Linked DNA regions of Neurospora crassa OR74A. The protein of the gene in region 2 interacts with the protein of the main gene of each other region in a pairwise test. Links are inferred from orthologs where the notes say so. Each region holds a gene or a part of one and is shown on either strand. Other genes may lie near its edges.

Region 1 (3,981 bases), on a different chromosome or scaffold from region 2:
TTGACTGGGTGAAGAAGAAGCGAGAGACGACCTAGGCGAGCAGTCGTCAGGCTTAGTGGGACGATAAACCGGGATGGCGGTACCCAAATGACTTGATGTTTGGGAAGAGCTCCTCTTCATGTCTCAAGCTCGGTCCTGTCCATTGAATGGTAGAAACCGCTGCGGCGTCTAAGTTGGTCGATCGTAACGCACAATGCCTAGTTTGGCGGCAGTCGGGAGTCGCGGCGGCTATGATGATAGTGAAAGATACAATGACGATACCTATTGAGAGATGGAAGCAGAGCGGGGAGGTGGGAAGACGTGGATGGACTTTGTCAGTGTGTTGAAATACGACAAGGTGCAGTGAGAGAGGACGACTCGGAGTAAGGTAGCTCCATACCTATGCATCACCTGAACTACCTACCCATTAGATGTGCCTCCCTTGCCCCAGGTCAACAACACTGACCTCTTGAGGCACAGACAGGGCAGGTACGACTTCAATTCTGAAGAAAGCCAGTGTTTGTAGCCAACTGTCACGCTTTCCTGGAAGTTATTACCGTCCGTCAATCAAAGACACTTTCCTCGACATCTCGAAACATCCAAGTTTGCCAAGTCCGAGTCGAGTGTAGGTAACGTAGAAATGTTGCGCCTTTGCAATTGATAGACGCAATATAGAATAGATCGTGCCCCATGAACGATGTACAACCCAAAGTACAGAAAGAAATCCAGACCCAATACTTTTGACATTATGCTGTTGAAATGACATTCCCACTTCCTTGACCAAACCCAACATGAGCGCAAGGAAATATGTGCTGACCAAAGAAATCCCAAGACTTGCTAGCCATAGAACACGAAAGGTTGTGGATGACAACCGCCATAGAAATCGCGACGCTAGCCAAAGCCTTCCTACCCCACGCTTCGAAACGTCACAATCTACTTGATCTCAAGGAGCTTGACGTCGAAGATCAAAGTGCTGTTGGGGGGGATGCCGGGAAGGGCACGGCTGCCGTAGGCAAGGTGCGCGGGGATGGTGAGACGACGCTCACCACCGACAGCCATGCCAGCAACACCGATGTCCCAACCCTTGATCACCTCACCCTTGCCGAGCTTGAAAGAGAACGGGGCACCCTTCTTGTTGGCTGTATTGAATATTAGTCTCTAGTCAATACTGTGAGAGTGATGGAAAAGTGAGACTTACAGTCGAAGACCTTGCCGTTCTGGAGCTTTCCGATGTAGCGCATGCCAACACGGTCACCGTTCTTGGCGGCACGGCCGGTGCCAACCTTCCTGTCATCAATGGTGACGCCCTGGACAACCTTGACGGTAGAGGTAGGCTTCTTGTTCTCAAGCTTGTCCTTGGCAGGGCCAGTAGGGCCCTGCTCGAGGTTCTTGGCGAACTGGACCTTCTTGTCGGACTTGGTCTCCTTCTTAGGCTCCTCCTTCTTGGCCTCCTCAACCTTCTGCTTCTTCTGTTGCTTCTTGCTGAGCTTCTTGTCGTCCTTGGAGATCATGGCATCGAGACCCTCGGCATCGTCCTCGGCGGGGCGCTTCTTGCCCTTCTTGCTGGTGTCGACAAGCTTGGGAGCCTCCTCCTCCTCGTCTTCCGAGGTGATCTCCTTGACACGGGGGGTGCCATCGAGCTCGTCGAGCTCGTCGCTCATATCGTCGGAATCGTCATCCTCGCCACCAAGGGGAAAGTCGTAATCCTCGTCGTCGGACTCATCCTCATCATCCTCGCTGTCCTCCTCGTCATCCTCGGGAACAACGAAGTTACCGGTGAGATAGACAGAGTGGGTACCCTGGACACAGAAGAAGACCTTCTCACCCTCGCCGATGGTGATGTTGATGGGCTGCTGGTAGTTCTGTATATGGGGAATCAGGTTAGCTCCAAGAACTCAAAAATACGTTCACCGAATGGATGGGGCTTCTTACGCGCTCAGTGTCAAGGGTGCAGACAACGTAGTCCTCAAGCTGGAGGTCATCATCGCCGCAGCAGTCGCTCTCCTCGTCGCTCTCCTCCTCGTCGGACTCGCTGGCCTTGCCCTTGCCCTTGCCCTTCTTGCCGTTGGGCTTGGCATCCTCCATCTCCTCATCAGACTCCTCCTGGGTAGCAGCCATAAGCTTCTTGATGGCAGCCTCCTGCTTGGCCTTCTTGGACTTGGAAGGGTCGCTGGGACCACCGTTGGCCTCGTCGTCAGAGTCGCCGCCGCCGAGGAGGGACTGGAGGTACTCATCCTCCTCCTCATCATCGTCGTCATGGTCGTGGCCAGTGGCCTTGATGATCTTCAGGGTCGAGCGGGGGAGCGCGGGAATGTTGCCTTGGCCGTCAGCCTCAGGAGCCTTGGTGGGATCGAGGGCGGCCATGGTGATGTGAATCTGGAATTCATGTCGTTAGCTCCGTGTAACCCAGTCCAGTGGAGCGCCATTGCCTGCGAAGGAGAGGGCCAAAGGCTCCGAAAAGTGTGCACTTACGATAGCAGGGAACTCAGAGGCGGCGGGAATGAGGATCTCGCCAGGAGGAACCTCCAAGCCAAAAACGGCGACAGGCATAAGGGGGGCCATTGTGAAGATTGGGTGGTGCTTTGCGCCGGGGTATCAAAAAGTCTAGATTTTAAAGAAAACTAAAGAGACAGGAACTCGAAGTCGTCGTCGGAAGTATACACTTCTAAGATTGAAAGAAGATGAATGGGCTGGGTAGAAAAAGTCTGAAGATGGATGCGACCAGTTTGACTTGGGAAAGGCAGAAAATGCGATCGAGGACGAGGGCGGTCGACAGGAAAAGTTCAGGCGAACTGCACTTGGAATCCAGAAAAATTTCGGCACCCCACCGTCTGTACTGTCTGTTACTGTAGCGATAAGACTTCCTTATCGGTTCACTGCCACTCTCCCGCTCCCCAAGCCAAGCTAGCAAGGGTATGTCGGTCAATGCAGGCCGGTCTGCTAACAAAAGCGGGGAAGAGTTCGACAAGCTCCGCGCTAACGTCGTGCGCGGACGCTTGATGTGCCTAGAGCTGGCATGGGAACCTTGCGACGACGGGATGTTCAAACTGCAACTCGTCATCACCGACTCGAGGTTTGAAGGTGGTCGCCGCGGGACTGCAATCTTTTGCCATCTGCAGGATTCATTGGTGCCAGAGCAAAGTGCATCAGGTGGGAGGTATAAGAATGAACACCATGCACCACAGGTACATGTCTGGAGTCTCCCGGCGATGCCATCCCACATCACATCGGTCCCCCAGGCTCACGGTTCACTCCACCTGAGTGAGAGGATTCACCAACGAAAGCATTTCTGAGGGATTCAAAGCAAGATTAGGTAAGCCCCTGGCTGAACCTTCAGGCACACCTTGATAACCCAGCATGCCACAGTCATCCCATCATCAACGCAATCGTCTCTAGATCTTGTCTCGATTTTCATATCTCTGCGGCCTCTCATCCACCTTAACGAGCTTCAATCCCGACTTAGCCACTGGGCCCGGGAAGTGACGGCTCTGCCTCGCGTAAGCCGCAACGAGATCATTGCCGTTGGTTACGCCTCCTATAGTATTCATCGAATGTCGGCCCAGTCTTCTGGGCCTAGTCAGGAAGGGATGAAAACAAACCACTAGAATAAGCCAAAGATTCCCATCCCCCACCCACCTCAACTTCTCCGCCACCCGAATAACGTCCTGGTCCTCGAATCTCGTCCGCAGATCTCCTTGCAACTCTCGCGGTCCACAGGCTTGCTTGCTTTTGAGTATCCCGGCCGCACCGCAGAGGTAGATGGCTGAGTAGACGCTTAGGATGTCTGTCATTTTCGTCTGGTTGTTACTGGTGTTGTTCGCATGCCCTGCCAGCCACGACAGAGCGGCTGGGCCCTCTTAGAGGTCAAGCTAAGGATTCCGGTCCCGGAATCAAGACGATGTCAAGCTTTCCTGGTGCCACTTCAAAGCGGATGTCTATGGAGGCTATCAGAGGGATTGGGTGATAAATAGTTGGACTCTGCTGATGTTTTTTGTGTCGTTT
Region 2 (3,943 bases):
GAATATTGCTGCGCATGCTCATATGAAAGAGCATTGCAGGTTCTTCTTGCTCAGCCAATAGGCTTCAACTTCTTTTTCTTTTTCTTATCCGAATCCCCAGACTTGCCCTTTTGAAACGCGCGCCAACTATCGATGCGCTGGTCTCTCGTCTTTTCCCAGTCCTCTTCGTGCTGCCTCTTGCGCTTGCGCTGCTCAGCCTCCTCGTCAGCTTTCCGCTGCTCGCGGCCTTCCTCCTGCATCTGCGCCTTGAGCTGTCTGCGTCGTCGCTGCTCGTTCTCGATCAGCACAAACTTGGTCTTTTCCTGCCACTTCTTTTCAAACTCGGCCGTCTTGAGCTCAGGGCTGTCGACCGTCCATTTGTTCTCGCGGATCAGCAGCATGCGCGCGTCCGCGATAGCTTCGTCTAGGTTCTTGCGGTGCTTCTCCTCCATTAGCTCCGTTTGCGCCTTCTTCAGTCTATCGAACGCCTCAGGCGCCAAGGGGTTTTTGGTCTTGTCGGGATGGATCAGCAGGGACTTTTTGCGGTAAGCAATCTTGATGTCGGATTCGGTCACGCCGGGCTTGAGGCCGAGGACTGAGTAGGCGTCGAGCCGGAAGGCTTTCAAGATACGGTCGATCTCGGCATCCTGTCGGAATTTAGATTGTCAGCAACTACTGAGTTGGGGATGTAAATGTTGGTATAGTTGGGCGTGGTTGTTGTCTGGCTTGCCTTCTCCCACTCCTTGGCTTCAGATTCCAGCACTTCAAGCGCATCCCGAGTGTCGGCAGGAGTTTCGTCTTTGACGTCTTTAACGTCCTTCACGTCCTTAGTGTCTGTCGCCATATTGTCGCCGGAATGGAGGGTCAATCTGGATGCTTGTTTGATCAATTACAAAGGGTTGATGGATAAGTAAGTTCGGTCTACCAAACGGAACGCAACTCCGGGGAAGTTTAGGGAAGTTCAGTAGTTGCGACTTGCGACACCTCCAGGAGCGCGGAAAGCACAGCTAACGCACGCCAGCGCTGCCAAGGCAAACCCACGGGCATGCAATGGGTGTACTTGATAAGCTGATAATGGATAAATGTCACATTGGCCCCACTAAAAAGTCGACCATCCAAAATTTACGGGTGACGGGCAGGCATTGATGGCTACAGTAGACAAGAGACCCCAAGACCCCATCATCATCACCAACCTAAACTCCAACCCACCCCGTCCGTCTTTGCATCTTCAATTAGCGATTCGTGCTGCAATTGGCAGCAACACAACCCTCGCTCACCATGCCTAGACGCGCAGCGTCCCCCACACCGTCCGAGAACGAGGTTGACATCGCGGGTGCTTTGTTCAACAACGACAGCGACTTCGAAGACAACAGCAGCAAGCACCACACCAAGAAGGGAGCTGTTACGAACAGCGGGCTTGACCTCGATTTCAACGATCTTCTCGGTAACGGCGATGATGGACTACCTAGCTTTAATGGCGAGGGCGATGATGACGAAGCCTTTATCGCTTCGCTCACACGGAGCTCGCAGAGAAAGTCCTCCAACATTCAGGGCAAATCAGTCAAGAAGGGTGGAGGTTTCCAGGCAATGGGTGCGTAGTCTTCCGTCCCATGGCATAAGTTGATGATGCTTGGGGCAGCTGCTGATACTCTCCTAGGTCTAAACGCCCATCTCCTCCGAGCGATTACCAGAAAAGGCTTCTCCGTCCCGACCCCCATTCAGCGCAAAGCGATCCCCCTGATTTTAGAAAGAAAAGATGTGGTCGGCATGGCCAGAACCGGTTCCGGAAAGACTGCAGCTTTCGTTATCCCCATGATTGAGAGGTTGAAGGGGCACAGTCCACGTGTTGGCTCGAGGGCGCTCATCATGTCTCCCTCGCGTGAACTTGCGTTGCAGACCCTCAAGGTCGTCAAGGAACTCGGCAGAGGTACCGATCTAAAGACCGTATTGCTCGTCGGTGGTGACAGCCTAGAAGAACAGTTTGGTATGATGGCGTCGAATCCCGATATTATCATCGCCACACCCGGTCGTTTCCTCCATCTCAAGGTTGAAATGAACCTCTCTTTGGCCTCCATCAAATACGTTGTCTTCGATGAAGCTGATCGCCTCTTCGAAATGGGTTTCGCTACTGAGTTGACCGAAATTCTTCACGCCCTCCCTCCTTCCAGACAGACGCTTCTTTTCTCTGCGACGCTCCCATCGTCCTTGGTCGAATTCGCCAGAGCCGGTCTTCAAGAGCCAAGCCTTGTCAGGTTGGATGCCGAAACCAAGGTGTCACCCGACCTCGAGAGTGCTTTCTTCGCAGTAAAGGGAGGTGAGAAGGAGGGTGCCCTTCTCCATCTTCTCCACGACGTCATCAAGGTCCCGCTGGGTCCGCCCGAGGGCACAAAGGAAGAGAGTGACGAATTGCAGGCGAGGAAAAGGAAACGCGAGTACAGGCCCAATCCTAAGGAGAAGCCGACGGAATACTCGACCATCATCTTCACAGCAACGAAACATCACGTCGAGTACATTGCGAACCTGTTGAAACTCGCAGGCTTTGCCGTGTCCTACGTTTACGGTTCGCTTGACCAGACGGCCCGTTTGATCCAAGTTGACAACTTCCGTCGGGGAAGAACACATATTCTCGTGGTTACCGATGTCGCCGCCCGTGGTATTGATATGCCTGCTCTCGCCAACGTCATCAACTACGATTTCCCATCTCAGCCCAAGATCTTTGTCCATCGTGTTGGTCGTACAGCTCGTGCGGGTCAGCGTGGTTGGGCCTATGGTTTGGTCCGTCAGTCAGACGTACCATATCTACTTGATCTACAGCTCTTCCTGGGAAGGAAACTTATTATCGGCCACGATCAGAAGAACCCTTCCTTCGCGGCAGACGTCGTAGTTGGAACACTAAAGAGAGATGGAGTGGATGTTAACATTGAGTGGGTTGAGAAGGCGCTCAAGGAGAGTGCCGATCTCAAGGCGCTGAAGGGTGTTGCCGCAAAGGCCGAGAAGCTCTACATGAAGACGAGGAATTCTGCGTCGAGCCAGAGCGCAAAGAGAGCCCGCGAAGTTACGCAGTCCAGGGGCTGGACACAGCTCCATCCTTTGTTTGGAGAAGAAGCCGCTGAAGCCCAGGCAGCTCGCGATGATCTTCTCAGCAGGATAAACCGCTTCAAGCCCCAGGAAACCATCTTTGAACTTGGCCCTAAGGGCAAGTCTAGCCGCAATAAGGCCGCGGAAGTTGTACGAAACATGCGTTCCAGATTCAAGGAGCGCAAGACTACCAACGACGAGGATGATGAGGACGTGGACATGGAAGATGCCGAGGGTAAACCTGACGGCGAGGAGACCAATGCGTTCGAAGACTTTGAGGATGAGGAAGAGGAGGGAGAGGCGGAAGAGGCAGAAGAGGCGGAAGCCAAGGAAGACCCATACGCCGACGACTCGGATTCGGAGATGGAGGTTACAGTATCCAGCAGCATGCATACGAAGAAGAAGGGTGGCCCGGTCAACTTCCAAGACCCCGAGATCTTCATGTCCTACACGCCTCGCACCACTAGCCTTGCGGAGGAGAAGGCTTACGGTGTTCACTCGGGCGGCTACAGCGGCAACAGCTTCGTCGAGGCCGCTCGCGACGCTACCATGGACCTGACCAACGACGAGAGTGCCAAGAACTTCGGTCTGCCCACGAAATCCAAGATGCGTTGGGACAAGCGTCACAGCAAGTACGTGGCGGTCGCCAACGATGAGGACGGCTCCAAGGGCGCCAAGATGATTCGTGGCGAGTCCGGTGTCAAGATTGCCGCCTCGTTCAAGAGCGGCCGCTTCGACCGGTGGCGCAAGGATAACCGTCTCGGCAAGTTGCCCACGATTGGCGAGACGGAGAAGTCGCAGCTCATCCGCAACTTCGGAGCCCAACCTGGCCAACCGCGGTACAAGCACAAGATGGAGAAGGCGCCCAAGGATGCGGACAAGTTCA
Region 3 (2,927 bases), on a different chromosome or scaffold from region 2:
GCTGACAAATTACTAGATCGCTGTTGAGGAGGCCATTCCCTACCAAGAGATCAAGCAGAACCCCTACACGGTACTTTGCCTCACGTCTCTCGGCGGACATCTTTCATGGTTCGAACTTGGTGGCGGACGATGGCATACTCGTCCTGTAAGTTTCTTTTTGCCTCACTTTCCGGTAACTTTTTGCTGATTTGTTGTCTAGATCTGCAACTTCCTGAACAAGATGGCTTTCGATATTGACTTGGACGCCATCAAGCCGGATGCTTGTGACAAGTTCGATAGCCAGTTCAGAACTCACTTCGACCCTGTGCAGCGAAAGTTGCAGATTCTCGATGTGGATCAATAGATGGTGGTGGAATGAACACTTGAAAAGAACGAAGACTGTACATAGATTAGCTATAGAGATGGGTCCATCGATTGGGCCTAAAGGGTCTAGACGCGCTTCAAGGCACATTGGGGCTGCACATAGACTTAGATTCGCGCTTTCGACTTGGATACAGGTTCGAACGTACGTTCATTGATGGCTTATGCGAGCCACGAACTACACCATCCTGACGGTTTCACCTAATAACATCTACCGACTCATGAGAAAAAGAGGCTGGACCAAGGCTGGCGTGCCCAATTGGTATCTTTAATTTCCACACACAAAATCAGTCAGAACTGTTCCCCCAGCCAAGCCATCCTACCCGCCGCCAGACTTTGATTGATATAAACGCCCAGACGCCATACATGCGAAGAAAAAATGCTTGGTGTAGGTATTACACGACAAACTTCCACCCTTCCTGTCTTCATTCTCCCAGCCCATTCCCAGGAGGGACCTTCAAAGCTCCCAGCATCCTTGCTTGATTATTTATTCGGGAGCAGCGAAGGATACCGACTTCTTCTTTTTCGACTTAACGGCTTTCGTGCCCGCAGACGAGAACTCCTTGACATCTCTGGAGTCATCGTCGTCGTCGCCCTTGCTACCGCCCGATTGCTTGCTGCGCTTACGCTTCTTGCGCAGCGAGTCCTTAGTCTCTTCGAGTCTGGCCTTGCGCTCAGCCTCCTTCTTCTCGGCTTCAGCGCGTCTCGCCTCGCGGATCTCCTCCATTTGTCGCGCCTTGATCATCTTGGACTCGATCTGGCCCTCCTTTTCTGCTTGTACGATGGCTAGGATAGTGGCCATGCTCTCCTGTACAAAGGGGGAAAACATGTCAGTTACTTGATGCTTTCCGGTCTTGAAACCTAGCAAGAAAACAAAAAACCAATATGACCCCAGACGCTAACGAAAGACAGCTTACCTTGTCATCCACAAACACCTTGCCCTTCTTCTTTCCCTTTGGCTTGGTCACACCAACGGGGGTGATCATGTTGAGTTCCGGAATCGCAAGCTCCTTTTCGCTGTAGGTCTTCTTCTTCTTCTTCCTGGCGATAAGCTCCTGGATGTTCGGTCGGCCCTTGCTGGCAGTCACGAGAGTGTGAGCTTTGCCCTTCGGCTTTCCCTTGGACTTGAGCACTCCATCGTTCCTCGACCTCTCCGCATCTTTGCTGCCCTTGATGCCGGATTTGTTCGCAGCGTGCTTGTTCTTTATCGTTTTTGTCGGCGCCATTGTGAGTTGTGGTTGATTCGTTGATAAGGTCGTAAGAAATCAACGATAGATGAAATGGTGGTTCGGGATATGGATGGGTGGATGGAGTACGAATACTCTCGAATGTATCCTGTACGCTGTCGCTTCAGTTCGGTCGACTTCTGGGGAAAATTTTGGGACCGGAATTGGTCCCTGCCTTATCTTATCGCGGTTAATCCAAGGTACCTCTAGAGCTTGTGCATATAGCACTGTATCAACGCCTGCTGAGCGCGGTTACGGGGCAGTGGGGTCTGTCAGCTCGCCGTGGGGCTGCCTTGAAATCTCTAATTGGCAGCTGGGGATCGGCAGGCGAGCAGGAAACTCTAGTTTCCTTCTAGTGTAAGCGCGGGGTTGGCAGCACTAGTGGAGGTACCTATTCCATATCGATTGCCTATCGGTGCGTTCCCTCACTGGTGGCACTCCGAAATCGCCAAAATTTCCAAGATCACCTTTATTGTCGCCATCCTTACATCGCAATTGATCACACTGCCGTGGTGATATCCCAAGAGTCTACAGTCCCCAGAAGTCTCAGACGCCCTATTCAGACAAAATGAGCACCGAACAGCCCGCGCCCCGCTGGGCCGCCTTTGCACGCGACACCAACGAGACCAAGATCCAGATCGCACTCAACCTTGATGGCGGCGCATTCCCTCCCGAGACCGACGCCCGCTTGAACGTCAGTATCGCCGACGGCCATGCCACTCAGGCTAGCAAATCGCAAACTATCAGCGTCAATACCGGCATTGGTTTCCTTGACCACATGCTCCATGCGCTTGCCAAGCATGCCGGCTGGAGTCTTGCGCTTGCTTGCAAGGGCGACCTTCACAGTTAGTAGACACACTTGGCTTGGGCGCAGAAGTCCTCGTGGAACAACATCCAGAACTCTGAATTGACTTTGTCCCTCTCATAGTCGACGACCACCATACCGCCGAAGACGTCTGCATCGCTCTTGGTTACGCCTTTGCCAAGGCTCTCGGCACACCCACCGGCCTCGCGCGCTTCGGATCCGCATACTGCCCTCTCGACGAGGCCCTCAGCCGTGCCGTCGTCGATCTGTCGAACCGTCCCTTTGCCGTTGTCGACCTCGGTCTTAAGCGCGAGAAGATTGGCGATCTCAGCACCGAGATGATCCCCCACTGTATCCATAGCTTTGCCGGGGCTGCCCGCATTACCGTGCACGTCGACTGCCTCCGCGGCGACAACGACCACCACAGAGCTGAGAGCGCATTCAAGGCGCTTGCGGTTGCCACGAGGCAGGCTACTAGCCGGGTGGCGGGTCGCGAGGGTGAAGTTCCTAGCACCAAGGGAACGCTCAGCGTATAA
Region 4 (3,972 bases), on a different chromosome or scaffold from region 2:
TCCTTGGCTGCGCTTCGCGGAGGAGGAGAGGACGGAATGGGGGGAATGTTGTTGCTGGTGTTCAACGACGACGAGCTCTTAACTCCCAAAGGGGTTGAAGTGCTGTTGGAGTTATCGGCCATGGCGAAAGGATTCTCTTCGACTACCAGAGCGAAGAGCTGGGTCCAGGCCGCTTATGCAACACGATACCTAGAGACGATGTACACGGGGCCGGCGACGCTGGATGCGCGCGACCTGGCAGCGAGGGGCCGCCGATGGCAAGGGTACGCGGAGACAGAGAACAGGCTGTGGTGATGGATATTTGTACAGAATCAGTTGAGCAACAGCTGGCGCAGAGGTATTGCTGGCAAGTGTCGACTGGATATTGGACAAGGGCTGACGTCGAAGTTGCAGGCTAGGCTGTGTGCAGCAAGCAGGCTGAGCTTGAAGAAGGACGGGAGGTCGAGGTCGTCGTTGAGAGACAAGGTAGGCGGCCGGGGGGGGCGTAAGGTATTGGCGCCGAGTTTATTGGTTGGCGGATTTGGTCGTAGTAGTATGGGTCCTCTGAGTGAAGTGGTGCGGCCGGAAGGGGTATGTCTATGTCGGTTTCTGGTGTAAGTGTGTCCTTGGTAGTATGGACTTGAAATTGAATGCGTAGGTGGAGATGTGATGGAATTGGATTTGGTTGTTCGTTTCTGTTGTGGATTTCCCTTGCGTGGTTCAGTTCCTAGAAGTACCTACGCTTTTGCTGAGTTCCCACTTGAGTACCTAGGTTTGCCGGGCAACCAAATCGACAGCCATGGAAACCTGACCTGACCTGGCCTGACCACCCATGGACTCCATTGAACACCTCCTCCAGTGGGCAGAGGCTGGGCGTGCGGTCCGTAGCGGCCGGGGGTCGGGGGGGAGGCGCCTAGAAGGAATGCGGTTTAGTGCTCCATCAGGGGAACGCGAAGACGCGGGAACAAATGACGCGCTGCATCGCGAAAGCTTAATGGCTTTTTCGTCCCATAAATCGCGGTTGCTGAAGACATGAAGATTGGTCAATGCACTGCACTTCAACCGCGGGATGTCTGGCCCACCCTGATGGGGCCCGTCTTGCTCGTTGCCCCACCAGCCGCCGGAGTCCAGTCTCTTATCGCTTATCGCCCTGCAGCTGTCATCCAAAAAAATCATTCTGCAACGACGACCCTGCAATCCCTGCGCTGCGAGTGCTGGAGGGAAGAACAGTCAAAGGGCACCCGGACTGCCATTTTCACCAACCCAAAAAAGTCACCAGGTCGTCCTGCTCAACAACACCAGTCGGAAACACCCCCCGACTTAGAGCACCGGCACCATGGCGATCCAAAAGAAACACGGCAAGGGCCGTCTTGACAAGTGGTACAAGCTTGCCAAGGAGAAGGGTTATCGTGCCCGTGCCGCCTTCAAGCTGATCCAGCTCAACAAGAAGTATGGATTCCTCGAGAAAAGCAAGGTCGCTCTCGATCTTTGCGCTGCGCCCGGTGTAAGTCATAGTCGTGAACATCCAGTTTATCATGGAGTGAACTAACCATGTCTGTGTCCGTCCCTAGTCGTGGTGTCAAGTCTGCGCCGAGACTATGCCGACAAACTCCATCATCATCGGTGTCGATCTTGCTCCCATCAAGCCCATCCCCAAGGTCATTACCTTCCAGAGCGATATCACCACCGAAAAGTGTCGCGCAACCATCCGCTCCCATCTCAAGACATGGAAGGCCGACGTCGTTCTTCACGATGGTGCGCCCAACGTCGGTACTGCTTGGGTCCAGGATTCGTACAACCAGGCCGAACTTGCCCTGCACTCGCTAAAGCTGGCCACCGAGTTCCTTATTGAGGGCGGTACGTTCGTCACCAAGGTGTTCAGATCCAAGGACTACAACTCCCTTCTCTGGGTTTGCAACCAGCTTTTCGCCAAGGTCGAGGCTACGAAGCCCCCTTCGTCCCGTAACGTCTCCGCCGAAATCTTCGTCGTCTGCCGCGGCTTCAAGGCCCCCAAGCGCATTGACCCCAAGCTTCTCGACCCCCGCTCCGTTTTCGAGGATGTGGCCGGCCCCGCCCCCAACAACGAAGCCAAGGTGTACAACCCCGAAGTCAAGAAGAGAAAGAGAGAGGGTTATGAGGAGGGAGACTACACCCAGTTCAAGGAGATCTCTGCCAGCGAGTTCATCAACACTGTCGATCCCATCGCCATTCTCGGCCAGTACAACAAACTCAGCTTTGAGCAACCCAAGAACGGCGATGTAGCATTGGCTGCCCTCGACAAGCTCCCCGAAACGACCGAAGAAATCCGTCTCTGCTGCGCCGATCTCAAAGTGCTCGGCAGGAAAGAGTTCAAGCTTCTCTTAAAATGGCGTCTAAAAGTACGGGAGATCTTCGGCTTCCCCTCCAAGAAGACCCAGAAGGCAGCTGTGGACGAGGAGGTTGCGGTAGTGGAGAACATGGATGAGGAGCTTAGGATCCAGGAGGAGCTGCAAAGGATCAAGGAGAAGGAGACCTCCAAGAAGAAGCGCGAGAGGAGGCGCGAGAATGAGAAGAAGCAAAAGGAGATTGTCCGCATGCAGATGAACATGACTGCGCCCATGGATATTGGTGTGGAGCAGGAAGGTCCCCGTGGTGAGGGTGCCATGTTCCGTCTCAAGACTATCGACCAGAACGCTGCCCTGAATAAGATCGCCAAGGGCAAGATGGCCGTTATCAAAGAGACCGAGAAACCGAAGGATTACGACTTTGGCTCCGACGGCGAAACCGACGAGAGCGACGAGGAGGCCGATCGTCTGGAGGAAGAGCTCGACAACCTGTACGATCAGTACCGGGAGCGGAAGGCGGCGGCCGATGCCAAGTACCGTGCCAAGAAGGCCAGGAAAGAGAACGGCGACGATGAATGGGAAGGCGTATCTGGCGATGAGGAGAAGGGTAGCGACGACGATGACGATGAGGAACTAGAAGTGGACAGCAGTGATGATGATTCCGACTCAGAGGATGGTGAATCTGGCAAGAAACTTATAACAGATCTAGACGGCCAGCCAGAAGAGAAGGATGGTCTGTCCAAGCGGGCCAAGAACTTCTTCAGTCAAGGTATCTTTGCGGAGATACCAGGACTTTTGGAGGAGCCAGAATCTGAGGAGGAGGAGGCTCAGGAGGCTGAGCTTGTTGAGGCTGTGGAGGACCTCAAGGTTACCAAGAAGGAGAAGAAGGAAGCCAAGGAAACCAAGGCCAAGAGCAAGAAGGCGGCCGAGGAGAGCGATGACGACGACGATTTCGAGGTTGTCAAGAACAACGAGGATGACGACTGGGAGAACGTTGAGAAGAAGAAGAAGAACGGCAGGCCTGGTAAGTTTCACTCAGTCCCTCTTCAGTATGACCTGTTAAGGGCAATGGCTGACTATGACAACTACAGACATCGACATCATCACCGCCGAGGCCATGACCCTCGCCCACCAGCTCGCGACCGGCGAGAAGACAAGTTACGACGTCATCGACGACGGTTACACCAAGCACGCCTTCAAGGACCGCGACGGTCTTCCCGACTGGTTCCTTGACGACGAGTCCAAGCACGACAAGCCGCACAAGCCCATCACCAAGGCCGCAGCGCAGGCCATTAAGGAGAAGCTCCGGGCCTACAACGCCCGTCCTATCAAGAAGGTGGCCGAGGCCAAGGCCAGGAAGAAGTTCAAGCAGGCCCAGAGGCTGGAGAAGCTCAAGAAGAAGGCCGATATGCTTGCCGGTGACGATGGCATGTCAGAAAAGGAAAAGGCTGCTAGCATTTCGAAGCTCATGGCGTCGGTTGCTAAGAAGACGAGGAGGGCGCCTATCAAGGTTGTCAAGGCTGCTGGTTCCAACAAGGGTCTCCAGGGCAGACCTAAAGGAGGTTCGTACTATCACTACCTTAAGATCTGGTGTGTTCTTTATGTTGGAATGATGCTAACTCGGTTTTTTCAATTTTATAGTCAAGGGCAGGTACAAGATGGTGGATCC
Region 5 (4,008 bases), about 3.3 Mb from region 2:
CTATGGTCAGAGGGTACTGGGCGAACAAACCTGTGATATACATGTTACTAGTTTATCAGAGAATCCAACTCCAGCGTTTAGTCGGTAGCCTTGTACTTGGCGCGGTATTCCTCCGTCTTCTCGACGTCCTCAGGGGAGGCAAGACCCCTCATGCCCTCAATGATGTCGTCCAGAGTAAGGATGGCAAAGATGGGAATGCCGTACTCCTTGCGGAGCTCGCCCATAGCACTGGGGCCGGGCTTGCTATCGTCACCATCAGCGGCAGGGAGCTTCTCCATGCGATCAAGAGCAACGACGATGCCAGCGACAATGCCGCCCTCCTTCTCGATCTTGGCGATAGCCTCACGCTTAGCAGTGCCAGCAGTGATGACATCGTCAACGATGAGGATCCTCTTGCCCTTCAGAGGGGCGCCAACAATGTTGCCTCCCTCGCCATGGTCCTTGGCCTCCTTGCGGTCGAAAGAGTAGCAGATCTTGCCGTAGGTCTCGGGGTCAAGCTGGGCAAGCTTGTCGGTGGCAGCAGTAGCGAGGGGAATGCCCTTGTAGGCGGGGCCGAAAACAATGTCAAAGTCCAATTGGCCGCTCTTGTGAGCCTCGATAATGCACTTGGCGTAGGCAGTGGAGATGGCCTGGAGAAGGTCGGCACGGTAGAAGTCGCCGGCGTTGAAGAAGTAGGGGGAAATGCGCTTGGACTTGAGCTCGAAGCTGCCGAACTTGAGGACGCCGCCGTCGATGGAGGCCTTGAGGAAGTCAGCCTTGTAAGGCGAGAGAGCGGCCATTGTGCTGGTACGTAGTGTTTGTAGGATTGGAATTGAAGCTGAAAGAAGAAGAAGAGATTTCAGAAGAACAGCGTTGACGTCTGTCTGCCTGGCAACTGAATAGCTGGAGGAACCTGGGGAAAATTGAGAAAATGGAGGGAGGGGCCGAAGGAAGGGTTCAGTTCCTGGCGGCGTCACACGCGGCAGTCTTTCAACCGAGTCAATCAGATGGTGGGTTACGAGTGGGCCACCTAGTTCCAGGAGCCAGGCCCGCGAAAGCCCGGTCATCGGCCACTTGGGCGCGGTGGGGTCCCTGAAAAAATGTGGGGTTAGAAAATCCTAAATTCCACACTAGCCGAATCCTTAAGCACCCCTTGGCAGCATGTCTTGGCAGCGCACACTACCTCTAGGTTCAATCCACTTTGGCACTCTGCTGTTATCTTATCGATTGGAGCAGCCGCTGGAAAAATATTTCGAAGTAGACTTTCCATTTGGCAGCGCAGCGCCTCCCCGTCGCCCTCCAACACCGCCCCCTCCCCCCGCAGCCGGTCTCTATCCTTCAGACCGTCCGTCCGACCTCATTGTCCTGCACTTCCAGTCCGAGATCTTCTCACCAGCAAGTGCTTGACATCTATACCCGAAATGACGTGGAAGGACATTGCCCCTGTGCCTACGTAAGGACATCTTGGTTGTTGTGTTGTTGTTTGGCATCGCTAACTCGCTTCTACAGGGCACAGGAATTCATCGACATCATCCTCTCGTAAGTCGACATCGGCAGCCCCCAACCACGACGATGCGAAGTCTTCGAGTTCGAGTCCAATGGCTTGGCCACGGTGGTGAAGGATATTAACTGTTCAACAGGAGGACACAGCGTCGCTTGCCGACTCAGAGTATGTTGTACAATGTGGAAAATTACGTGAAGCATGGCATGATCGCTAACCTTTACTTTGAATAGTTCGTGCTGGTTTCAAGAGTATGTCGTCTCGATATCCGATACTTTGTATGAGAATTCGAATAGATCATTGACACGCGACACCGAACAGTCAGCAGAATTAGAGCCTTCTACACCCGTAAGGTCAAGTTCACACAGGAAACATGCAGCGAAAAGTTCGGCGCCATCGTCTCGAGCTTCCCCATCCTCGCCGACCAGCATCCTTTCCACCGCGATTTGATGAACATTCTCTACGGTACGAATCCCGCGCTTCCCTGCGACAGGCGGTTTCAGCAACAGCGGGTTGTGAACCGCGCCTGGTCTTGTTGGGAATAGTGGCTGACAAGGTGATGGATAGATGCCGACCACTTCAAGGTTGCCCTTGGTCAGGTCTCGACCGCCAAGCACTTGATCGAGACCATCTCTCGTGATTACGTCCGTCTCCTCAAGTACTCGCAAAGTTTGTACCAGTGCAAGCAGTTGAAGAGAGCCGCCCTCGGTCGTATGGCCACCCTCATCAAGCGTCTGAAAGACCCTCTCGCCTACCTCGACCAGGTCCGCCAGCATTTGGCCAGATTGCCCGATATCAACCCTACCACCCGTACCCTCCTCGTTGCCGGCTTCCCCAACGTCGGCAAGTCTTCGTTCGTGCGCTCCGTCACCCGCGCTGATACCCCTGTCGAGCCCTATGCTTTCACCACCAAGAGCTTGTTCGTCGGCCACCTCGACTACAAGTACCTCCGTTACCAGGTCATCGATACCCCTGGTATTCTCGACCACCCTCTCGAAGAGATGAACACCATCGAAATGCAGTCAGTTACTGCCCTTGCCCATCTCAGAGCCGCCGTCATGTTCTTCATCGATATCTCGGAGCAGTGCGGTTACTCGCTCAAGGCCCAGTGCAACTTGTTTAGGTCCATCAAGCCCCTTTTCGAGAACAAGATGGTCTACGTTGTCCTGAACAAGATGGATATCAAGACCGTTGAGGACCTCGACCCCGAATCCCAGGCCGATCTCATGGACCTTACCAAGTCCGGCAACATTCAGCTTTTGCGCGCCTCTTGCGCTACTCAGGACGGTGTCCAGGAAGTCAAGAACACCGTTTGCGAGGCTCTCCTCGTTGAGCGTGTCAACCAGAAGTACAAGGCCGGTACCAGCAGCAACGGCACCATGGGCTCCCGTCTCACCGAGGTCATGTCCCGTATTCACGTCGCCCAGCCCGCCGATGGTGTTCTCCGCGAGACCTTCATTCCCGAGGCCGTCAAGGGTCTCAAGAAGTACGACAAGGCCGACCCCGAGAGGAAACTTCTCGCCAGGGATATCGAGGAGCAGAACGGTGGTGCTGGTGTCTTCAACGTCGATCTCAGGGAGAACTGGATCTTGGCCAACCCCGAGTGGAAGTACGACAAGATTCCCGAGGTCAGTATCTCTCGCATTCCGTCTCCCCCAAATTAAACCCGGTTACTAACATGTCACGCTTTGACGAACAGATTGTCGACGGCAAGAACGTCTACGACTTCATCGACCCCGATATCGAGGCCAAGCTGGCCGCTCTCGAAGAGGAAGAGGAGCGTCTCGAGAAGGAGGGCTTCTACAAGTCGGACTCGGACCTCGGCGACGAGTCGGAGGAGGAGATCCTGCAAAAGGCCGAGTACATCCGCGAGAAGCACAAGCTGATCCGCAACGAGGCCAAGATGAAGAAGTCGCTCAAGAACCGCGCCATAATCCCCCGGAAAATGCAGAAGAAGTCGTTCGCCCAGCTCGAGGACCACATCGACCAGCTCGGCGTCGACACCGAGGAGATCAACCTGCGCGGCCGTGCCCAGGTGCGCGAGCCCACTCGCGGCCGCTCGCTGGCCCGCAGCCGCAACGCCACCGAGGACCCCGACGCCATGGAGGTGGACACGCCCAAGAGCGCCGCCGAGCGTCTTCGCTCTCAGAGCCGTCCGGCCCAGCGTGGCCAGGGCGCGACAAACAGGCGCGACGACGGTGTTACTGGTGGTGTGGGCATGGACGGGGAGACAGCCCGCTCCAAGGCCGAGAGGGTGGCCAAGCTCGGCCAGCGCAAGATGAACAGGATGGCCAGAGCCGGCGAGGCCGACAGGCATATTGGTGCTACCATGCCCAAGCATTTGGTACGTCTTTTTTCTTTTCTTTTCCCCTTCCTTCAATCCCCCTTTTCTCTTTTCTCTTTTCATTCCTAAACTAACCACACATGTTTTCTATAGTTCTCCGGCAAGCGTACCGTCGGCAAGACACAGCGTCGTTAATTTGGATCGATGATCCATATATGTTTGGGTTGGGTTGGGTTGGGTGTGT
Region 6 (4,220 bases), on a different chromosome or scaffold from region 2:
TCAGACCAAGGCGAAGAAGGCGGCAGCCAGGAAGTCGGAGTCTTTCATCATGTCGGATGACTCTATCGAGGAAGCTTTTCGGAGCGTTCCGGATGCTGTATGGAGTTCGTCAAAGGCTCGTCGTCGGAGCGGAAAGGTTCAGTTTGTCGAGGAGTCACCGTCCTCTGAACCAGTGTCTCAGGAGAAGGAACAGGAAGATTTGGAAGAGCCATCTCTTCCTGCGATGCCAAGGAGTACCACCATTGATGCCAGCAGCGATGCCGAGGACGAAGTGGAAGTTCCTGGCTCATCATCGCAAGAGGCCATCACCAAGAAAAGTGTGAAATCCCAGACGCCGCTGGGCCCTCGGCTCCGGCAATTCTCGTATCAACCAGGTAAACCCGGTGCTCGCCTTGTCAATGGTCTGCCTACACCTTCCTCAACCCAAGAGAGATCTGCTGCGGTGCGTAGATCATCGTTGAATCCAAGCTCGCCCATGTTGACTCCGTTGCAACGCATGGGAGCCCGGGCATTGAAGCAAGTTACACCCCGCGCCACGCCTCCTAGCAGCCTCCGCGCACGTAAATCAAGCAAGCCGAGCGAGGCTCTCGGCTCCGTCCAGGTGGATCCCGCCGCCATTCCGTTGCCGTTGGCCGACTTTGCTGAAGTTAGAGCCCTGAACATGTCGCTTCAGGGGAGCGAGGATCAGATTATTCCTGAGAGTGATGGAGAAACCGAATTGGGCACGGCAGCCACTCGTCCGCGACTTAACTTGGCGCAGTACCTGTATTCGTGAGCCCCCAACTCGTGCTCTCTGGAGTGTATTAGGAGAAGCCAGATATGTGGTGTGCATAGCTCTCGGCGTATCGGTAAGGAAGAAACCCCGCCTGGAAAATGGGTGGGCTTGAATTGTACTATGGTCTGTTGTAAGGAAACGAGGAAAGATCATGGGTCAGGAGTATTATCAGGCAAAGAAGGCAATCATGGAAAGAGCAGGCTGAAGTAAATGAGGAGAACTTCTATTGCCTGTTATGCGATAACATTGCCCTGATGGGCCATTCATTGATGGCCTTTGTCCAGAAGGTAGCTATATCACTTTAGTAGGAAATAAACAAACAATGGTAACCATGATGAAGGAACACTGTTGCACCTGTCAAGACACTGTCAGGAGACATGTCACCATCAGATCCAAACATAAATCCTATAGGTATACTATACACGAGGTAGACGGGAGCGTGCTAGAATAGGCAAGTATCCCTCTAACCGCGATAAGATCGATGAGTAGGTGCCAGGGCAGTTCACCGCCTTTGGCAGAATGCCAGAACCCCAAGCGTGAAAGTGTGGGGCAAGGTGCTGGGGGGCTCCACACTGCTGGGAACAATCCACTAAAATTTCACTGTAATCCACTGGCGAACAAAAATTCATCGAGACGGGAAACAGTCGCTCGACCACAGCCGACCCGCCCTCCACTGTCTCAATTTTTCCATCTGGGTTTCGTTTCGATACCTCGACATACTACCTCGACCATTATTCCGCCCGCTCGACATCACTCACAACCCCATCACAGCGAAATCCCGGATTCGACTTTCTTTGTCGCCTCAATCACCTAGGTCTCTCTATTTTAGCGACTGGCAATCAACCAGGTCGACTCGTACAAGCGAAAACCAGCGTGTGCAAAGATGGCGGATACCGATTTGCAGGTAAGCAGACCGGCGCTGGAATGCACACCACCGATACGGTGATACCCATGGGCTGGTAGTTGTGGCCAAACTGGGATGGCTAGAGTTCGACGCTGACCATGCCGTCTTGCGATTGCGAACAGGAGCGCCTGCGTTCTCACGCTCAGGCCTTTGACGGTCTACTGTCGCTGATCCCAGCCAAGATGTACTACGGCGAGGACAATAGTGTACGTTACCCCCACCCGTTGACTTAGCTCTTCATCATAAACTCAACCATTGATGTTGGTGTCAAAATGCCTTCGATCGCGTCGCTGATCCCAAGTAACCCCGCCAACAGGATCAGTGGAAGAAGAAGAAGCAAACCAAGGAGCAGGCAAAAGCTGCTAAGCGGGGGAAGCTCGATCCCGACAGTGAACTCAACCGCAACGCCAAGGAGGTCATGGAGGAGCGCGCCCGCAACAAGCGCAAGCTCCAGGAAATGGAGGAGAGCAGCACTGAAGACAGCGACATCGACGTCGAAATCCCTGGTGTTGAGAAGGAGAAGCCTCTTGAAGGACTGAAGAAGAGGGTCGTCAAAGACGACGCCGAGACAGAAGAGTCTGCGCCTAAAAAGCAGAAGCTTTCCGAGGAGGAGGAGGAGGTGGTGGAGGAGGAGGCCGTCCCCGCTGAGAAGCCCTTGAGCAAGAAGGAGCAAGAAAAGGAGGCCAAGCGTCTCGCAAAGCTGGCCAAGCAGGAGAAGAAGAAGGCCAAGCTCGAGGCGAAACTAGGCAAGGGTGGAAAGACGGAAAAGAAGGACGACACCGCCGAAGAAGCCAAGCCTTCTACCGAAGCTAACGAGGACGACGAGAACGACGATATGGCTCCCATTGATGTGTCTGGTCTCGTAACAAAGGAGGATGAGGGCGAGTCCCAGGAATCCGCTCAATCTTCTGTTTTCGACAGTCGCGACAAGGCCGGTTCCGCCGAGCCTGCCAGCGCCAACACCTCGATCTCTTCCGCCGTTCCCCCATCGGATAAGCCCAAGTTCAAGCTTCCCGCCGATACCACGGTTCTCCGCGAGCGTCTCGCCGCCAAGATTGAGCAACTCCGTGCCGCTCGCAAGGTTGAGAAGGACGACGAGGGTAAGCCCATTCGCACTAGGCAGGAACTCATCGAGATGCGCCGCGAGAAGGAGGCCAAGCGCAAGGCCCACAAGCGCGAGCAGAGACAGAAGCAGAAGGAGGAGGAGGATCGGAAGCGGTCAGAGGCTATTGCCAGCTCGCGCAACTCTCCCCTAAGCATGCTCAGCCCCAAGGACGATGTTGAAACCAACTTTGCTTTCGGACGTCTCGCCTTCTCTGATGGTGTTCAGCTTTCTCGTGACGCCGCCTTTGTCAAGTCCGACGGAACCAAGAAGAAGGGCCCCACGGACGCCAAGTCCAAGCTTGCCAAGCTTGAGGCGCAGAAGAAGCGCCTCGAGGCCTTGCCTGAAGATAAGCGCAAGGAAGTCCTTGAGAAGGAGACGTGGCTCGCTGCTCGCAAGCGTGCCGAGGGCGAGAAGGTTCACGACGACGAGCACCTGCTCAAGAAGGCTGTCAAGCGCAAGGAGAAGGCAAAGAGCAAGAGCGCCAATGAGTGGAGAGAGCGCAAGGAGGGCGTCGCCAAGGCCCAGTACGATAGGTCAAAGAAGCGCGAGGAGAACATCAAGAAGAAGCAGGACGAGAAGAAGGCCCGCAAGATGGGCATCAAGGTCAAGAGCGGCAAGGGCGGTAAGGGTGGAGGAAAAGGTGCTTCCAAGGGTAAGAGCAGGCCTGGATTCGAGGGCGGATTCGGTGGTAAGAAGAAATAAGCGTCGGATAAGGTGTTCAGCAAGGGGTGTTTTGTCTTTTTGGAGAGAGATGTTGATACCACTGCTGCTGCATAGCGGCAGATGCTCGGGAGGCTGGCATATCCTTTTCCCATTCTTCTGCCTTGTCGCTACGTACATATTTCTTGCTGGAAGGGGGTAACAGGTGGTGTTTTTGGCGTTTGTTTTTTTTCCTCATGGTTTTTCGTTTCTTTTTTCTTTGCACGGTCGGAATGGAAAAAGAGATTATATCACACGTACATATCACAACTGGACCAGATCACGACAAGCGGTTAACATGGTACGAGGCTGGGCAAGCCTTGTCTTTTGTTCTTTTATACTTAGCTAGCTTTTAGTAGTGGTGGCGAAGGGAGGAGGTAGGGGCTGGAGGTCCCCCTTCTTCTTCAGCGAGGCAGCATCTTCAGGGAGTTAAAAAGTGATTATCAGCTCACCGAGTCTTTTCTCTTTTTTTGTCCGGTGACTTGAATTGGTGATGTGAGACGCATAGCTTCCCTTTCTTGCTTGTCTGATACCGAGGCGCTCTCCGGTGTAGGCGTTAAATTCCAGCTGTGAAATGAGGTGCTGTTAGTGCTGGGTGGTCGGACTCTACTTTATTCGCAATCAAAGCACTAACACGGCGCCTGGAAGCCGACATAATTCTAGGTGATGCTACACGATTTTATCATGATCGGAGCAACCCGTGTTCCGTTCCACAAGGGAAGCTTGGAAGGGGTTAA
Region 7 (4,082 bases), on a different chromosome or scaffold from region 2:
TCTTGTTGCTCGGTGACTGAGGAGCGTTTCCGCTTTAGGATATCATGTCGGGGTGATAGTGTGAGGATCTTTTCAGGCGAGGCGGAAACTATTTGTACTTTCTTCGCCAGCACGGGAGATCGCGCAGGTGGTAGTTTGGCAGCAAATTCAGGCTCTTCGTCACTCAGGTCTTCCGAGGCCTCTTCGTCACCCACTTCTGCTTCTTCTGAGGGAGTGTTTCGCCCGCTGGCAGTGTTTTCCGGTTCGTAATCAGATTTGATTTGCTGCTGAAGCTTGCTAGGGCTGCGCTCGAACGTCCGATCGCGGCGGTCGGTGAATTGTCGAGTGCCAGGCTCACCCGCGGTGTCTACGATGTCGCGCGATACTCGATCTTTCGGTGGTGTGTCGTAGAGCCTCTCTGTCTCTGCCTCGGAGTCATTAATATCCACGTCCGACAGCTTGCTCTCGTCGTCAGTCTCAGCGCCAAGGTCCGAGTCGACGCCATCGCGATTGTCAGTTCGGACCGATGTCTCGCGATGTTGAGAGTGGTTACTGTTCATGTCCAAATCCATGTCGTCAGGATCTCCATGCTTGTCTTCCACGTCACTAAGTGGGCTTGACACATCGCTAGGGCTGTGTTGGAGCAGAGGCGGAGGGGGGCTCGAGAGAGCCAAGGACAGCGCGGTGTCACCGGTAGCCATCGCGGATCATAGAATCCGACGAGATTGAAACTAAGCAACGACGCGCCAATGTTGGGTTGAGCAGCTGAGCAGTGGAAAGTTGGACGGCCACGTAGAATTTAGTCGTGGACGGCGGACTGGACGTCCGAACTGTACGGGCAGCTCAAGAGCAGCACCTGAAGTTGTGGCGCCACGATCAGGGTAAAGTGTGTTTATGCCGGAAGGTTAAAATGTGTGCTCGCACACAATGAAATGTCTCGGAGATATGGCTTTGTTGTCGGTACGAGGGCGCGATTGTCAAGAGATAACGTGCGGTCTGGGTAGGTAAAGTAGTAGGAAGACAGATCGGGAGAGTGAGGAGCGGGCAGTAGGTATCTGGTTGACGACCTAGACTGGGAGCTGGACAAGCGCCCACAGCACCGCACCAGCACGCAACACAAATGGGCAACCGGCAGGTTTCTGGGGGGCTCCATTGCCTGCCCGCTTGCCTGCCGCCGCCGCCCGTCTCCAACAGCCCAGCGCACCACACAAAGGCGATGGCAGGCGGTGAGTCTTGGCAGCTTTGATAACAACTGATAAGCGAGTTTTTTTTTTTAATGGGAGGATGCAAGATGTTCCACGGTCCTCGACTCGTCCTTACGATGCGCAGTGGGGAAGGTAGAAACGACGACCCTTTGAAACCCTGGACCATTGAACCTGCCTGCATAGAAACTGGTCTTGCCTTGTACAACATCCTGCTAGAAATCAGAAGTGGAAGCTTTGCAATTCGATTTTGACAGCATTTACAGCCAATCACATCTTTCGCCTCGTCGTCGAACTTCAGTTGTTTTTCCGTGCTCTTAGAACTAAGTCAATCACAAGTGCTTGATTGGCGAATCGTGCCACTTTCCCATCCATTGCGCTTACACACGACGGAAAACTCACAATGGGTAAAACGTGCGAACAGCCCTACGCTACAGTCAACGCCATTCTTCCAGTATTCTGACACCACTATTATAGTAAAGGACTCGTTGCGCCGGTGAAGAAGGTTGATCCTAGCTTGGATGCTTTGTTTGCTACCAGTGTAAGTCATCTCGCTCTGACCAGACAGGCAATTGGAAGTTTACATGGCTAATCTTGTGTAGGTTGGTCCAGCGAAGCCCCGCCCAGCTGCAAAATACTCCGAGCCCCTACCGACAAAGTCCAAGAAGGCGCCAGTACCTTCCAAGAAAGAGGAAGACGTTCAGGACGAGGGCGATGACGAGGAACTGAGCGAGCTTGACGAAGAATACGATTCCGAGGTCGGCATTGGAGAGGATGACGAAGACGACGAGGCTGAAGACAACAGTGACAGCGAAGACGAAGCCGTCGCGACCCTCGAAGTTGTTGTAGAACAAGGAAAGGTCCCGGAAGAAGATGGACCGAAACGGAAGCGGAAGCAACCCGACCAGCACGACAATCTCGAACACAAATACCTGTCCAAGTTGGCGGAGGACGATGAAGAGCCGGCTGGCAAGCGTCTCAAGGCCGACGAGCAATCCGGAGAAAAGAAGGATACCGCCAAGGCCGAGAAGAAGGACGACGACGACAGCGAGTCTGCGGATGAGGTCCCCGTTCACGAATCGCTAGCGCCCGATGCTGCCCAGAACGAGATTGAGAAGGCCAACCGCACCGTCTTCCTCAGCAATGTCGCCGTCGAGGCCGTCACCTCTCGTTCGGCCAAAAAGGCCTTGATGAAGCATATGGCTTCAGTGTTGGACAAGGAGGCGAAACCTGCGCAAAAGGTTGAGTCGATACGGTTCCGCTCGACTGCCTTCGCTACCGCTGCCATTCCCAAGCGTGCCGCTTATATCAAGAAGTCCGTGATGGAGGCCACTACGAAGTCGACAAACGCCTATGTTGTCTACAGTACCCCTGCGGCCGCTCGTCTTGCCTGCTCGAAACTCAACGGCACAATCGTGTTGGATCGCCACATCCGTGTCGACAGCGTTGCCCATCCTGCCCCGGTAGACCACAAGCGCTGCGTCTTCGTCGGTAACCTTGGTTTTGTGGATGACGAGACAGTACTGCAAGTGAAGGTAGACGAAGACGGTAAGGAGGTGACCGAGAAGAAGAAGCGGACAAAGCAGCCTATGGACGTTGAGGAAGGTCTCTGGCGGGTATTCGGTAAAGAGGGCGGCAAAGTTGAGAGCGTTCGTGTGGTCCGCGACCCTGTCACCCGTGTCGGCAAGGGCTTCGCCTACGTTCAGTTCTGCGTGAGTTATCACTTCTCTCTGTCTCTTACTTGCCCGTTATCAACTAACAACTCTGTTCCCCCTCCGTAGGATGAAAACGCCGTCGAGTCAGCCATCCTCCTCAACGGCAAGAAATTCCCGCCCATGCTCCCCCGCGAGCTACGCGTCAGCCGCTGCAAGGCCCCTCACAAGACCCTGCGTGCCATCGAAGCCAAGAAGCTCAAGGCGCAGGGTGCCGTTCCGGAAACTATGAAGAAAGGCAACAACGGGAAGAAGGGTCCTGGCTCCAAGAAATCCGACTACGCCCCCAAGATCTCCGCCGAAGCCAAGACCATCGCCGGCCGCGCTGAGAAGCTCCTCGGCAAGTTCACTGCCAGACAGGTCATCGGCTCCGACAAGAAGAAGACTTTCAACAAGCAGGACAGATACCAGGCCAACCAAAGGAGGAATCACGCCTCGGGCGCCAACACGGAGGCGACCGGTCCCAGAGTCCCGGGCGCCTACAAGTCCCCCGAGAGTTTCATTCTCGAGGGTAAGCGTGCTAGTGCGGCAGACGGAAAACCTAAGGATCTCAAGTTCAAGGGCGCCAAGAAGAACAAGGCGCCGAATGCGGGTGGTGGTAAGAAGAAGACTGGTCGTGCTGCTGCGAGGGCTTCGAAGTGGAAGGTTCAAGGGAAGGGGAAGAAATAAGTGCTAGGCCATTTGCCTGATGTTTAGGGTTGTTTGCTGGTATAGAGCCAACGGGCAGCAGCCGGCGTGGTGCGGGTGCGCGCGTTTCATCCGGCGCGGCCCGTGGATTTTCAAGCTTCAAGAAAAGGGGCAGAATTCGAAAGTGAACAGAAGCCTTCGATTCATGACGCGCGCATGTATGGATAGGATAGGATAGGCTGTAATGCAGTCATCGCATATGAAGGTATCTCAACGGACTGTCCCCAACCGCGTGATACTTCGCAATGACGGGAATGTGGAGGAAGAGCCTTGGCGCCCAGAACTAGGTACATATGTAGTTGTCTGAAATTGCAGTATAACCGTGGAACGACTGTTAAGCCTGGCTCCGTGGTTCTTGCGACAGGGAATCGCAAACAATACAAAAATTAACAACACGGCCACATTGAAAGAAAATAAAAAAGAAACAACGTGTAAAGCCTTCAAGTGCACCATACCAACTTTCTACATGATGTCTCGTGGAATTGTGGGTGAGCTGTGTAGG

What was found.
Region 1: the proteins of NCU07712 (region 2) and fkr-4 interact in binary tests that used the Saccharomyces cerevisiae proteins (3 or more experiments, as listed by UniProt). The link is inferred for Neurospora crassa OR74A from reciprocal best matches to the Saccharomyces cerevisiae genes DBP10 and FPR3.
Region 3: the proteins of NCU07712 (region 2) and NCU01301 interact in binary tests that used the Saccharomyces cerevisiae proteins (3 or more experiments, as listed by UniProt). The link is inferred for Neurospora crassa OR74A from reciprocal best matches to the Saccharomyces cerevisiae genes DBP10 and LOC1.
Region 4: the proteins of NCU07712 (region 2) and NCU03669 interact in binary tests that used the Saccharomyces cerevisiae proteins (3 or more experiments, as listed by UniProt). The link is inferred for Neurospora crassa OR74A from reciprocal best matches to the Saccharomyces cerevisiae genes DBP10 and SPB1.
Region 5: the proteins of NCU07712 (region 2) and NCU05289 interact in binary tests that used the Saccharomyces cerevisiae proteins (3 or more experiments, as listed by UniProt). The link is inferred for Neurospora crassa OR74A from reciprocal best matches to the Saccharomyces cerevisiae genes DBP10 and NOG1.
Region 6: the proteins of NCU07712 (region 2) and NCU06090 interact in binary tests that used the Saccharomyces cerevisiae proteins (3 or more experiments, as listed by UniProt). The link is inferred for Neurospora crassa OR74A from reciprocal best matches to the Saccharomyces cerevisiae genes DBP10 and RRP14.
Region 7: the proteins of NCU07712 (region 2) and NCU09131 interact in binary tests that used the Saccharomyces cerevisiae proteins (3 or more experiments, as listed by UniProt). The link is inferred for Neurospora crassa OR74A from reciprocal best matches to the Saccharomyces cerevisiae genes DBP10 and NOP12.

The regions. Positions count from the first base shown.
Region 1 is NC_026501.1:5,029,454-5,033,434, reverse strand, and holds fkr-4 (FK506-binding protein 4), read right to left. Parts: upstream 2,801-3,981; 5' UTR 2,542-2,800; coding exon 2,452-2,541; intron 2,356-2,451; coding exon 1,912-2,355; intron 1,842-1,911; coding exon 1,178-1,841; intron 1,119-1,177; coding exon 913-1,118; 3' UTR 273-912; downstream 1-272. Other genes in the region: NCU16390 (hypothetical protein), read right to left, coding at 3,372-3,552, 3,616-3,770. UniProt on the Saccharomyces cerevisiae protein: Proline isomerase that belongs to an abundant class of enzymes that catalyze the cis-trans isomerization of X-Pro peptide bonds and can accelerate the refolding of proline-containing polypeptides. Specifically binds nuclear localization sequences.
Region 2 is NC_026504.1:2,110,052-2,113,994, forward strand, and holds the start of NCU07712 (ATP-dependent RNA helicase dbp-10), read left to right. Parts: upstream 1-1,143; 5' UTR 1,144-1,257; coding exon 1,258-1,570; intron 1,571-1,636; coding exon 1,637-3,943. Other genes in the region: NCU07713 (DnaJ domain-containing protein), read right to left, coding at 51-626, 710-823. UniProt on the Saccharomyces cerevisiae protein: ATP-binding RNA helicase involved in the biogenesis of 60S ribosomal subunits and is required for the normal formation of 25S and 5.8S rRNAs.
Region 3 is NC_026505.1:3,571,855-3,574,781, reverse strand, and holds NCU01301 (60S ribosomal subunit assembly/export protein loc-1), read right to left. Parts: upstream 1,716-2,927; 5' UTR 1,587-1,715; coding exon 1,278-1,586; intron 1,169-1,277; coding exon 848-1,168; 3' UTR 501-847; downstream 1-500. Other genes in the region: NCU01302 (hydrolase), read left to right, coding at 17-145, 200-343; NCU01300 (imidazoleglycerol-phosphate dehydratase), read left to right, coding at 2,155-2,431, 2,515-2,927. UniProt on the Saccharomyces cerevisiae protein: Required for efficient assembly and nuclear export of the 60S ribosomal subunit. Involved in asymmetric localization of ASH1 mRNA.
Region 4 is NC_026505.1:2,021,513-2,025,484, forward strand, and holds the start of NCU03669 (AdoMet-dependent rRNA methyltransferase spb1), read left to right. Parts: upstream 1-1,172; 5' UTR 1,173-1,315; coding exon 1,316-1,483; intron 1,484-1,550; coding exon 1,551-3,327; intron 3,328-3,394; coding exon 3,395-3,865; intron 3,866-3,944; coding exon 3,945-3,972. Other genes in the region: NCU03668 (WD domain-containing protein), read right to left, coding at 1-122. UniProt on the Saccharomyces cerevisiae protein: Required for proper assembly of pre-ribosomal particles during the biogenesis of the 60S ribosomal subunit. Specifically methylates the guanosine in position 2922 of the 25S rRNA at the stage of 27S pre-rRNA maturation.
Region 5 is NC_026504.1:5,445,647-5,449,654, forward strand, and holds the start of NCU05289 (nucleolar GTP-binding protein 1), read left to right. Parts: upstream 1-1,208; 5' UTR 1,209-1,400; coding exon 1,401-1,432; intron 1,433-1,488; coding exon 1,489-1,518; intron 1,519-1,619; coding exon 1,620-1,648; intron 1,649-1,713; coding exon 1,714-1,731; intron 1,732-1,801; coding exon 1,802-1,945; intron 1,946-2,047; coding exon 2,048-3,108; intron 3,109-3,179; coding exon 3,180-3,824; intron 3,825-3,917; coding exon 3,918-3,959; 3' UTR 3,960-4,008. Other genes in the region: NCU05290 (orotate phosphoribosyltransferase), read right to left, coding at 78-779. UniProt on the Saccharomyces cerevisiae protein: Involved in the biogenesis of the 60S ribosomal subunit.
Region 6 is NC_026507.1:1,847,947-1,852,166, reverse strand, and holds NCU06090 (hypothetical protein), read left to right. Parts: upstream 1-1,420; 5' UTR 1,421-1,658; coding exon 1,659-1,679; intron 1,680-1,801; coding exon 1,802-1,885; intron 1,886-1,995; coding exon 1,996-3,486; 3' UTR 3,487-3,939; downstream 3,940-4,220. Other genes in the region: NCU06089 (exonuclease), read left to right, coding at 1-775. UniProt on the Saccharomyces cerevisiae protein: Involved in ribosome biogenesis and cell polarity. Required for the synthesis of both 40S and 60S ribosomal subunits and may also play some direct role in correct positioning of the mitotic spindle during mitosis.
Region 7 is NC_026501.1:5,442,282-5,446,363, forward strand, and holds NCU09131 (nucleolar protein 12), read left to right. Parts: upstream 1-1,282; 5' UTR 1,283-1,584; coding exon 1,585-1,595; intron 1,596-1,658; coding exon 1,659-1,722; intron 1,723-1,783; coding exon 1,784-2,893; intron 2,894-2,962; coding exon 2,963-3,562; 3' UTR 3,563-4,018; downstream 4,019-4,082. Other genes in the region: NCU09130 (hypothetical protein), read right to left, coding at 1-680.